3 linked regions of the Caenorhabditis elegans genome follow. The protein of the gene in region 2 interacts with the protein of the main gene of each other region in a pairwise test. Each region holds a gene or a part of one and is shown on either strand. Other genes may lie near its edges. The genes, in order: C38D4.7, cec-1 and tbx-9.

The links.
Region 1: the proteins of cec-1 (region 2) and C38D4.7 interact in a two-hybrid assay, tested with the Caenorhabditis elegans proteins (one large-scale study listed by BioGRID).
Region 3: the proteins of cec-1 (region 2) and tbx-9 interact in a two-hybrid assay, tested with the Caenorhabditis elegans proteins (one large-scale study listed by BioGRID).

What each region holds. Positions count from the first base shown.
Region 1 is NC_003281.10:4,809,490-4,813,179, forward strand, and holds C38D4.7 (C2H2-type domain-containing protein), read right to left. Parts: upstream 1,807-3,690; 5' UTR 1,662-1,806; coding exon 1,620-1,661; intron 1,576-1,619; coding exon 1,390-1,575; intron 1,335-1,389; coding exon 925-1,334; intron 879-924; coding exon 824-878; intron 780-823; coding exon 633-779; 3' UTR 542-632; downstream 1-541.
Region 2 is NC_003281.10:8,424,614-8,429,114, forward strand, and holds cec-1 (Chromo domain-containing protein cec-1), read left to right. Parts: upstream 1-1,719; 5' UTR 1,720-1,726; coding exon 1,727-1,786; intron 1,787-2,006; coding exon 2,007-2,050; intron 2,051-2,223; coding exon 2,224-2,857; intron 2,858-3,475; coding exon 3,476-3,652; 3' UTR 3,653-3,970; downstream 3,971-4,501.
Region 3 is NC_003281.10:10,339,450-10,343,844, forward strand, and holds tbx-9 (T-box transcription factor tbx-9), read right to left. Parts: upstream 2,410-4,395; 5' UTR 2,403-2,409; coding exon 2,110-2,402; intron 1,685-2,109; coding exon 1,609-1,684; intron 1,552-1,608; coding exon 1,399-1,551; intron 973-1,398; coding exon 616-972; 3' UTR 557-615; downstream 1-556. UniProt on the Caenorhabditis elegans protein: Transcription factor. Involved in the control of early morphogenesis of the intestine, hypodermis and body-wall muscle. Involved in regulating expression of vab-7. Appears to have partially redundant function to tbx-8.

The sequences.
Region 1 (3,690 bases), 3.6 Mb from region 2:
GAGCCCATCTGGAATTGAGGTTCCATTACGATGTTCATTAGGAAATAAATGAGCGATGAAAGTTTAATTGAGTACGATACGAATGAGCATTTATGACTGACAGGTTCATGTGGAGCAAAGATTACGGTAGCAGAGAATTATTTCTCTTATCAGAAACGAGTGATCTATTAAATAGTTATTCTAAAAGTTGGAGATTCTTAACAAAAAATGTTGCTGAAATCGACAATTTGTCCTCCAAAGATTTGATATAAAAGGCAACAATGAGACCGCCCTTTGACTGATTATGTACCTTCTTTCAGAACATTAAACATTTACGATCTGGGAACTCTGCAGCTGTCATGAAGAACAACAAATGGAGCATCTGAAAATATCAAAGAGTCGCTTACTACTCGATTTCATGCACTATCAAGTTTGACCTGAATATGACCCGGCTGTCTGTTGCGTAATCGTTTTGCTCTTTGTGCATCTATGATACCGCCGTGAGAAGAGCCGCGTCTCGTATTTATTGCCACCCACTGTTGGGAATAGTTAGATAGCTGGTAGGAGAAACAAGATTTATTTACTATAAAATTTATTTGTATCAAAAAAGCTTAAATTTTAAAACAAAAACGAATATAAATTAAAAAAGAAATTTAACACGAGGTCTGCTTTATTCGCAGTGACCTTCTCGCCCCAAGTTCGCCGGCGTGGTTGTTTGAAAAGTGATCCACGAGCTGCTCCTTCGTCTGGGAAACTTCATTGCAGGTCCTGCATCGGAAGCTCTTGAATTTTTCAAGATCCTGAAAAACAACTTCAACTAATTTTTTATAATTTTCAGGCTTACCTTATCGTACTGAGATCCTTTCCCCACCAGCACTGCACCGATGAACACATTATCTCTGAAACTCTCATTTAAATTGAAAAAAAAAACACAACTAGAATTACCTTTCAGCAGATCGTCCATGGTTTCTGTTTTCCTCATCTCGAATCTTTTTCAACTCCTTTGCAGCATCAACAGGTGCTCCGGTCCGCTTGGCTAAATTGGATTGACGAACAACGGCAGACTTGACTCTTTTCGCTGGTTTGAGGGAGCTGGACGATGGATTCTTTTGACCAACCACATCATATGACGAAGCGTGGCTCCTATCGACACGTTCCACGAGAGAATGGACAAGTGCCATCATCTTATCCATATTTTGCTGGCTCCGCTCGTCGGCCTTCTCTCTTTCAGCTCGATGCTCTTCGCGAATGGATCGTTGATCGGCGCGAGCTTCTTCTTGGGCTTTTAGCATCTTCTCACACAACTGCCCAAACATGGATGACTGAGCAGCCAGAGTACCCAGTGAGTGCACAATCTGAAAAATAATTCCATTTCAGTAATGGCTCAATTGTAAAAGTCAATGTACTAACCGCATTTTCCAAAGAGTTTTGTGGTGGTTGGAGCATCGGATTTTGGAGTTGGTAGGGGAAGAATGGGACCATATCGCGGTTGAGGGTAAATCCCGCCATATTCGGTGCACCATTTCCCACAGCAGAAAGCAAACTCGCGGGAGTTTCAGTAGTCTGGGCAGTCTGTCGGGTGGCGGAATCGCCATTCTGAAAACGATTATTTTTTAGGTACAATGAAATGAAAAACTCACTTGGTCAGCAGAGGCTGGAGCTGGAGTGCTTGGCTTGCTCATCCTGAAATGTATGATTTTGTGAAGATTTGCACTTTTAGCAGCTAAAACGACAGTGATCGTGGCGAGACCCAACGAGAAGAATAGCGTGAACACGTTCTAATAAAAAAAATTCCGAATCAAAAGCTGAAAAGGAAAGAGGAAAAGGTGAAAAAGTGAACTGTTAAAATCGAGAATGTCGATTCTGACGAAAAACGTGGCACACGTTGCTTCGCCCATCTCTTCAAGAGGCACGTGAGGTCATACGGAAGTTCATCTTTTTCGTTTTTTAAAAACATTTTGTTTTAAAGGGAAAAATTAGAAAACTTCAATGAAATTGAAAAGAATATTCTGAATATATTTCCAAAAAAAAATTTTCAAAGCAAATTTTTGAAAATTTTTTACAATACAGTTTTTATTTTTTGCCGTAGTTGCTCTTTTGGGAAGCTCATATCTCTCTGCATTTGAAAGATATCAACAAATTTTCAACAGCAATGTCGTAGAGAAAAATACATAAAACATATTTTTCTTGTTGCCATTTTTTGATATTAAGACTAATAGCAGCTGAGATACAATCTGCCAAAGTTTGTGTGTGCATCACTTCTACAAAATAGCCTATTTCAGAATGTTGTGCCTATATTTTTAATTAAAATTTAGTTTCAAAATATAGAAAAATATTTAAATGGCCTGAAGATAACATGTTGCATTCTGAAAGTATACAGTATGAAAGTTATCAATTGAAGAATTTTCCCCGATTATTTGGAGGATTATATTCTAAAATTGTTAAGCATCTTTCTATAATTTTAAACGAATCAAAAAAATAACTTTATATTCATATTTCAATTCTAAATTTCTCTAAATTACTAAAAAAAACGTTGTTGGAATATTTGGTAATTTACCAAAACATGAACGAAATAAAAAATCTAAAATGCAGAATGTACTTTTTCCTGAAACTTTTTAAAATGTAATTTAACCCAGGTATTCCAAACTTTTGTGAAACTTTTTTGTTGGTTTCTCACAGACGGGTGGCGCAACCACTTGGATTGTCTTACTGCGGATTACTGTGCGGCAAAACACCAAACAATGTATAATCTTTTGTATAATTTAAGTGCTTATATCCTTTGCTTTTTTCGCAATGAGATACCGATACCGAAGCCAGAGAAAGACGGCCCTTCTCAGCTTGATACCACGATTTACGAGCGTGATGCGGAAGGAATAAAGAAAAAGCCTAACGCCGACCCAGTTGGAGGAGGAGGTGTCGCATTTCTTTTCGCGCATCTTTTGACGCGAGCCCGACGAAGAGCACATTGTGATATAAACAATTAGTATGATCTTCAAGAGAATGTGTTTATGTATTCAAGGAAAGATAAAACGGATTATTAGGAAAATGTGGAACATTGGAAAAAAGAACATCATCTCCAATTGTAAGGAGTTTCATACCAAATATACTAAAACTAAAACATATTACAAAAAACCAAGTATCTAATTGAAACAACTTTTCGGACTATTTTGTCAAATTTTTTGGCAAATTACCAAATTTGTTGAACAACTCTATCGTAATAAATACAATACAATACAACTTATGATCAACGTCCAAAATGATGATAAGTGAAAACTGAGTAATTTTTGACTAGAAATTTATGATTTTTTTTCAGTTCTTTTTGTTTTAATTTATAAAATTGGGGTTAGAAAAATCAGATCTTGATGGTAAAATATCTTTAACAATTGAAAACATTTTTTTTTCTCCAAAGTCCACAAAAAGTGGCAATTCCTCAGTTTTCAAAGCACATAATTTTGGAAATCCGGAAAATATGATTTCTAATAGTTTTGTATTTTAATTATATTTAAATTATATGTATTTAAACGCTGTGATTGTTCAAATTTACAAAATTGCCCGAAGTTTTTCATAAAGTCCAAATTGGTAAAAAAATTGGCAATTTGCCAAAGTTGACTGGAAAAGTTGAAAAATCTTAAACATGTTTAGATATTTGGATTTTTGGGACATTTTAAGAGTATTTAGACAAAATCATATCTAGTCCTACTCTTTCAGTTA
Region 2 (4,501 bases):
ACTTTTTTGAAATTTGCCGTGCTCGGCAAATTCGGCAAATTTGGCAAATTTGCCGCACACCCCTGCTCCACACAATCAATTTTTCAACTTTATCAAGCTTGTTTCAGTTTCCGTAAGATTTTCGCATCTCCCAGGTTCTCTGAATTCGTCTTTCAGATCAAAACCTATTTGGAATTGACTACACAGTTTAGCCAAAGTTGTCACAAAAAATTTCGAAAATTGCCAGAGTTGCCGAACATCAGAATTTTCGTCAGCCGACTTTTGGCTAAAACTTGCGGCAGCTGCTGAAAAGCCAGACAGCCCTGTTCTGTACATAGAGTGACAGGAGTCTTTGTCCGTGTGAACTCTGTACTGTGAAACGTTAAATATTGAAATTAATCGGTTCGGTATAAAAGTATTGACTTTTTCAAAAAACTACAGTAACCCAACCAGTTGTAGAAAATACTCAATTGTTAGTGTAAACAGCTAGAAATTTGCAGCCGTGTGATGATCATCTGATGCGTCTCTCCCTTTCTCTTTTTATATTTCATATTTTCCCACCCCCTTTTCTCTCTATAAAATGCCATGTCAACCTATTGGGAAAAAGCAATAGACGTGCGAGAAAACAGAGAAAAGCACTGTGCTGTCCGTCAGTGAGGGGCTGCCTGCGTGGCCGGACAGCGAGAAGACTAGAGCCCGACTGCGAATAGTGTGTCAGAGCAAGAGGAGCAGACGCTGTCGAAGGTTATACACTATGGAAAGAGCGGACAGAAAAGAGAAAATAGACCTCCATCACACACAGAGAGACACAGCCCACATACACACAAACAAACCAAGGCGATGTCGTCGTCTTCTTCTCCTTATTTCATTCTCGTATAACTCTCTCACTGTCTTCCCATCTCTGTTAACTTGTCAAAATTTTCTCTAGTGCCAAAAAAACATTATTTTTTAATAGCAAAAAAAAAGTTTAAAATTTTAATAATTCTAGTGGTAATATACAGTCAAAATGGTAAATTTCCATAGTCACCACAAAAATGTAGTAAAAAAACATTTCAACAAAATTATTTTTTATCCAAAGTAACAAAAATCTTAAGGTTTCGAAAGTTCGAGGTGACGAACAGTACACAAAAGCTAGTGCAAACCTTTTGATAACCATTTTTCAAAATTTTTGTAAATTTTATGTTTTGTTGTTGCGATATTTGTATATGTTATTTTCGAAGCATTCTCATAATATATTTTTAAAAAACCCCTACATTCTAGAATGTGTTTTTTCTACAATTTTTTAGATTTAATGTAGTTCAAAAATGGTTTTTTCTCTTTTTCATTTTTATTTTGAAATTTCTTACAGGAGCAGTTTTCCAAACATACTCCGAAACTCAAAATGGCAGTAGTACCATCAGATTTTAGAAGGCTTTCTTTGATTCCTGAGGTATACTGCCTAAATATATTTTCCTTGAAATTTTCATTGCTCATGTTGTAATTTTAGTATTGTTTGAAATCCTGTTGCAACCCTGGTGGCTTTTAGTCAAAAAAAAAATAAAAATTATACAAATTATGTTAAGCCAGATATAACCATTTTAACTTTAGTCATTTTTATGTTCTACATTACATTTTAGCTGTTACTATTAAATTCTATCAAAATTAGCAACAACTTTAATAGAGAAAATTTTAAAACGTTTCAAGTTTACCACTCAATTTTTTTTTCACTTTTCCACTTATTTACCAACACCAATCTAATTGTAGAACCATGGCCGACGGATCAGAGCTCTACACCGTCGAGTCAATTTTGGAACATCGCAAGAAGAAGGTAATTAAGTTCAACTTTTACTTTTTTTTTCCTGCCTGGCACTCAGCCAAGTCATTCTTCTATCCTTCTCTAGTTTTTTTTTTGCAAACGCGTAATCAAGTTTGAGAGACGCAGAGACAAATAAACATAGGGAACGTTCGGTTTGAGATGGATTGGGAGAAATTGAAGAGAAAATAAAATGGCAAGATATATTTGAAATATGTAATTAACGATTTTGCAGGGAAAGAGCGAGTTCTACATAAAATGGCTCGGATATGACCATACGTAAGTTTTCTCTCTCGAATTTTTTCCAAAACATTTTCATAAAGTTTTTTGAAGCATATTTTTTTGATTCAATTAGTTATTCCAAATTATACCCATTTTCAGTTTTGAAAATTCCAGAAAATTTTAGTTATTTTTATTACAGTCTTGTTTGGACTAAATCGTGTAATTTTCAGTCACAACAGCTGGGAACCAAAGGAGAATATAGTCGATCCAACACTAATTGAAGCGTTCTTCACGCGAGAAGCAGCTCGTAAAGCAGAAATCAAAGCTAAAAAAGATAAAATGGCTGCTGGAAAGAAGGGTGCATCTTCGAAAGCTTCTGCTTCAGTAAGCAAAGCATCTGCTTCAACTCCTGCTCGTGGAGCTAAAGCTGCTCCAAAACCCCCACCCAAAAAATCCCCACCAAAGAGGCAGAGACTAGCAGGAGGTGATATCCGACCAGATAGTGATACGGATGAAGAACATTCTTCAGCTGATAAGAAATCAAAAGCAGAGGATGAAGAAGAAGTTGAAGATGATGAGGAGCCAGTGCCAAAGAAAAAGAAGGAGGTTCAAGAAGAACCTGAAGAAGAAGAGTCTGTAGAAGGAGAAGATGAGGAAGAATCCCAAGAGGTTGAGGATTTGAAGGAAGATGAAAAAATGGAAGAAGACGAGAAAGAAGAAGAGGAGGACGTACAATTAGAATCAGAGAAAAACGAGAAAGAAGAAGAAGAGGAAAAGGTGGAGGAAAAGAAAGAAGAGGAAGAGGAAGAAGAGGAGGAAGAGATTCAATTGGTTATTGTAGAGAAGACGGTCATTGAGACTACGGTATGTCATTTCATTTTTTATTACTTTTCTACTTTAACTGCTAATATTTTGGTGTTCGTTAGCTTTATCAAAACAATAAACTTTCAACAAATATTTTTAATAGTGTAAGTTTTTGAAAAAGCAAGTCAACTGATGTAGGAGAAGTCAAAGTTGAGGAATATGGGTAGAATACTGTACTTCTTAAATAATTTATATAATTTGAATACGGTTTTTAGAGAAATTTTCATATTTTTCCCCTCTAAGTACGTCTTAACCAAGTTGCCGGTTTCCGAAAAATTGACAAGTTCTACAACCCGACAAATTCTGTGTTCGGCAAATTCAGTGATTTTCAGTTTCCTAAAAATTTCAGCGTTAAGTAATATTGCTGGAAGGTTTATTTGCCGCACATCCTTGTTATTTTTTATCTTTCGGTTGTTTTTGAGCTGATTAAACAATTTTAATACCGAAGTATTGAAAAAACGTAAAACATAACTTTACTTAAAATTATGTTTATCTTTATTCAAAAATATGAAATTTTGCGATAAAAAGTTTTCCGAAATGCTACGACTTTTAAGAGCTATTTTTGAACGTACTTTAAAGATAATATTCCTTATAAAACTTAAAATAAAAATGTTTCAGATAGTGGAACCAGCTGTAGCTACTCCCGAGCCATCCGAGCCATCGTCTTCTGAGAAGGCTGTAGTAGAAAATGGATCTTCTTCTGCTGCTGCAGGAAATTCTGCTTCAAAACCAGAAGTTTCTGCCGTAGAAGTCGTCACAGTTGAAGACGACGATGATATTGCAATTATCGAATGAACAAAATATAAATAAAAATCAATAATCACTGATTCTCTATTATGTGTTTTATGAAAAATCTCTCTGTCTCTCTAATTCCCTTCATCATCCTTTCACTCGTTTCAACTCACTCTCAATATTATCATTTAACTTAAATCTTATTTTTCTGTCATCTCTTAAATTTGTTCCAGATAACCAAAGTCTTTAATCAGAAAATCATTATTTTGTCTATGTCACTCATTCAACATCAGTCGCCGTCGCCCTCACCCAAGAAAAAATTCCATGTTACAATTTTATTTACTGCATTTTTTTGAAATAAAATAAATACAAATATTATCGATTTGGAAAAGGCATAAACATTACAGAGAAGCACTGACACAAATTTCCAACAGAACAGTGTTGGTCTACCAAAAAACAAAACATAAAAATTCGGTATTTGATGAGAAAGAGGCTTATATATTACGGGAACACACAATTTTGAGAATATGTATTGTGCAATTAATTTAAAGTGCAAAATATCCAGTATCGAAAACTACAGCAATTCTTTACTTGTGTCAATTCGATGGAAGGGGAACAATTGAGAGAAATGTAGAAATGTCAGAGTAGAACAAAAAAAGTTAAGCTTGAACTGAAAATCTTAATAGTTATTATAATCGTGCAATGGTAACAAACATATAACTCCTTAATTTCTGGAGCCAAAATAGCGGCAGTGAGAGAGAAAGTGGAAAGCTCACCGAGTGAAAAAACATTCAATAACTGGAAACTTTGCCCCGCCCCTTTTCTTGGATTGTATAGAGTTGATCCACATTTTCCCCAGAGATAGCTAGAATTTGAACTCAAAGAACACTTGGAAATACTTTTTCTATTAAA
Region 3 (4,395 bases), 1.9 Mb from region 2:
AACACAAAATTAATGAGAATGCGCAACATATTTGACCGCAAAATATCTCGTAGCGAAAACTACAGTAATTCTTCAAAAGACTACTGTAGCGCTTGTGTCGATTTACGAGCTCGATTTTTGAAATGAATCAGACTAGAAGAAAAGGAGGAAAATATTGAACATCAATTGAACATCAATTCAAAAAGTCGAACCCTTGACTACAGTAGTCTTCTAAAGAATTACTGTAGTTTTCGCTACGAGATATTTTGCGCGTCAAATATGTTGCGCAATACGCATCCTCAGAATTGTGTGTTCTCGTAATGTCTTGAAAATTTTCCATTTCAACATCAAATAAGCAAATCTAAAAATGTGGGTTCTGCAGCGACCACTATGACTGTGATCGTGGCAAGACCCACTCAGAAAACTACGTGTTCCTTTAAACAATACATTTTTAAGTATTGTAGGTATAAAAATTGTTGGCTAGCAGTCTAGGCTGCCTTTTTCAGTCGACAAACTTCTAATTTAATCGGCGGGTCTTCAAAAAGTCGTTTCTTTGAAAATATAAAGCTTTATATATTTATATATTAAAAATTTTGATTACATGATATCAAAAGCGACCAGTTTGCATAAAAATTATCAACCAACAATATCAATATCTTCTTCTACCTCCTGATCCTCCTCCTTCACAATGCTCAGCTCACTGCTCGAGCTGGAAGGAGTCGACGGGAGAGGCGAGAGAAATGGAAAAGCGAATGGAAATTGGACTGGAAGATTTTCAGATAACATATGGGGAAAATAAAAAAGAAATGGGTTGATTGGAGGCATCGACTGAAGAGGTGCGACCTCCGGTGGTGATCTGGATTTTGGCGATGGGGACTGTGAGTTGCTGCCGTCGGAATATGATGGTGATCTTCTCTTGCGACTCAAGTTCCCGTCACGGAAACCTTTGGCAAAACTGTTGTGCTTGATTTTCAAGTCGGTGATTTTTTGGTTCTGAAATGAGGAAAAATTAGGTTTATTATTCAACTCTCTCTATCTTTGAAAACAAAGAATCTATTAAGAAATTGTTAAACACCATATTATGGATCACAAAGCGAGCAATATTTTTGTAGTTGACAACTTTTATATAGCTCTTTTTATTGGCGAGGTAGGAGTGCTTAAAGTAGCGCAGTTTCAAATTTATAAATAGAGCCAAATTTTGAGCAAGTGTAACTCTCCTTCTTTTAACTCTATTAAAAACTTGTCAACTAACTAATTAATCTTTACAACTAGGGTTACAAATTATTAGTTAACGACTTCTTGATAAGTATGATGGTTGACAAGACTTCCCCCTTCCTTCCCAGATTTCCCATTGTTCACAAAATATTGATTCTTCCGAGATAAGATCCATGCGCTAATACTCTTACTCTCAATACTAACCTGGTAAGCCGTTACTGCAATAAACTCGGTATGAGGGAATTTGGCGGTGGCGACGATTTGGTTTGAGGATTGTGGGACGCAGAAAGGGCTCTCCGATGGAGACTCGTAGATTGTCAGCACTGGAATGTACTTGTGCATGCTGTTGAGGTAAATCTGAAATTTCAATTTTAAATTGGAAATTGCCAAGTAATTTTAAAGTTGAAATCCTACCATTGAAGCGTTGTTGGACTCTGAATAGTTGGAGATTTTCACACGATCAAAGCAAATCGAACTCCACATCCAGTCACTGAAATTAATTGGGGTTACTTTGAAGATATAAATTTAGCAAATTTAGAATTATTTTCATCTGAATTATGTTGTCAGTTGACAAACGACAAACTTTGAAAACTTTAATGTTAGATGAGATGTAACCCTCAAAATATTCCAAAGGCATTTGAATGCCAGTGTCGGCAGCTCTAACTCTTCAATGGCTCAAGCTAGAAAAAAGTTGTCAACTGGCAAATTGTAGATGATAAATCAGTTAACAATTTTCCAGTTAACATCTTTTTTAAAACTTCCAAGCCCGCTGAGATATGGCGCTTTGAAGTTGTAATACCAGGGCGGAGCTAAAAAAAGTTGCCAATTGACAAAATGGTTCTCACTATTTTGATAATCATGTCAGTTTACAAATCTTCATAGCTTCTAATCTTCCAATTCCTATGTCACACTCACCTTCCCTTCCGAACTCCATCAGCATGCCACATCTTCTTCGCGTCGACCTGCTTCTCAGCTTTGCCCGTTTCCTGCCACTTTCCACCGCTGAACTTGAATCGACTTTCTCCAACTGGTTGTAATTGGAGCATTATTGCATACAGCTTGTTTTCATCAAGCCCTTCGACTATATATTCCAACTTTGGGAACAACTTTCGGCCGTTCTTCGTGACAATCATCTCGTTGACTTCTGCGTGGAATATCTTCCAGAGAGTTTCTTGGGATCCTTCGATTGATACTTTGACTTTGGACATTTTTTGTCTGAAAACGTTAAAATATATTATGAAAACGAACAGCAAAAAAAAAGTTGGAAAATGGTATAAGATATAATGTTATATTCTCACCGGTTTGGCAGCTACACTTGCTTAGAGTGTGGTACCAGTGAGAAGGAGGAGCGGGAAAACTATTCTAACTTAAAAACGGTGGTATCTAGCAAAAAGTTGTTAACTAACAAAGCAACAATGATAAAATTTGCAATATTTTGTTAGTTGACAACTATTTGGTATCTCTTGCCAGTTTTGAGATAACGTCTGAGATATCCCCGCCGTTCAAAAATAAGAAAACAAAAAAATAGAAAAATAAGAAACACGATAAGATAGAGATGTCATCACAAAAAAATGGTGATTTAAGACAAAGAAGTGAGAAATTGTGCACATCTTCACCCCATCTCACCTCATTGCCAAACCACACCCCTCTGCAAGGGCGGGCAGGTTGTGCGCGTGGCCCTCTCGGCTATCGATTCTGGGAAGACTTGGCGGCTGACTGGTAGATCAAAAGAGTTGGGTATACTTTCAAAACAAAATTGGGAGATCAAATTCTGATGTGGCATAGAAATAGAGAAGACGGTCCGAAAATGTTGGTTTTATGTAAACTTCAAAAAATGTTCAAAATTTAAAGATGATACAACTTCCTTATTAATTAAAGAATTATGCTATGTATACCATGCTTATCGACAGTATGGATTTTGTATATTTTTACTTTGAGATCACTTTTCTCAAGAAAGAATGACAGTAAAAATTAATGTAAACTGAATTTTTTTGTACCATATAAAAACCGAAATTTGAAAAAAATAACTTTATTTAATGTTTCAAAATAAAGATTTTACCATTTTACATTTTCATACCTTCCACAATTACCCATTATTCCATCTTCAAACCCTCCTTCTATTTCCAGATAATATACCATTTCCAAGTATACCCCTTTTTTGTCGGTTACCTCCAAAAGAGCATACGTTGTAAAATTTTTGAGCCGGTTAGTTGTAGTGGGCTCTTTTGATAGAACACCGACAGTATTGACTGGAGGTGTAAAAATTGGTAGCTGAAGGAAAATGGATAAAAGAAAACATTGGTTAACGGATCAAAATTATTTTGCATTTTTAGACATAAAGTGATATTAAAAATTCGAATTTCATAACGAATGTTCTAAAACATTGCTCAAAAATATTAGGAAAAACTCTCCAAATTTTGCAGATCCATTAAAATTTCTGAGCAATTTTTGAGCAAACCTTTTAAGTCTATAAGTCAGGATAATTTTGATATATTCGTCTTCCCAAAAGCTATCAAAAAGATGTCAACTTTCAAAAAAAAACTCAATTTTTTTCCGGGGTCTAACTTTTTTGTGGATGCAGCTATCAAAAATTTGTCAACTAACTGATTGTTCATAATTTCCAGAGCTATATTTTGTCAGTTGGCAACTATTCGGTAAACTCGAAGCTTTTCGAGATAATCGTTTCCCAAATTGTTATCTGAACCCAAATTTCTCCGACCCCATTAGCCCCATTTTCCTAGAAAATAAGACTGATCTCCAAAACACCAAAAAAAAAGCTGTAAAACTTTACTCTTCCCAAAACTCTCCGAGTCGGTGTTTTTACGGGGGGTACCTCTAAATCAGGTGGTCGATAAACATCGTGGCGGATTTATAACCTCCACAATTGTTAGTTGGCGTCAATGGATATACAGGTGATAAGGTTTACAATCACTGATTAGTTGTTCTGAATTTTTTTTTCCCAGGAACACAAAAATTGAGGTTTCCTGCTTTTAAAATGTTTTTAAAAACACTAAAACACTTGTTCAAAAAATTTAAAAATCACATTCCTTCCCTAACAAAATAAAATTTTAAATTTATTAATTCAATTCCATACCTATTAATTAAATGTATATCCTCCTCCACAGGTGCGAACTCCTCGTTGTACGCGTGTCTGCCACGTGGCGGCGAGAACAAAGTGCTGACATTCATTGTTTTGTCTAA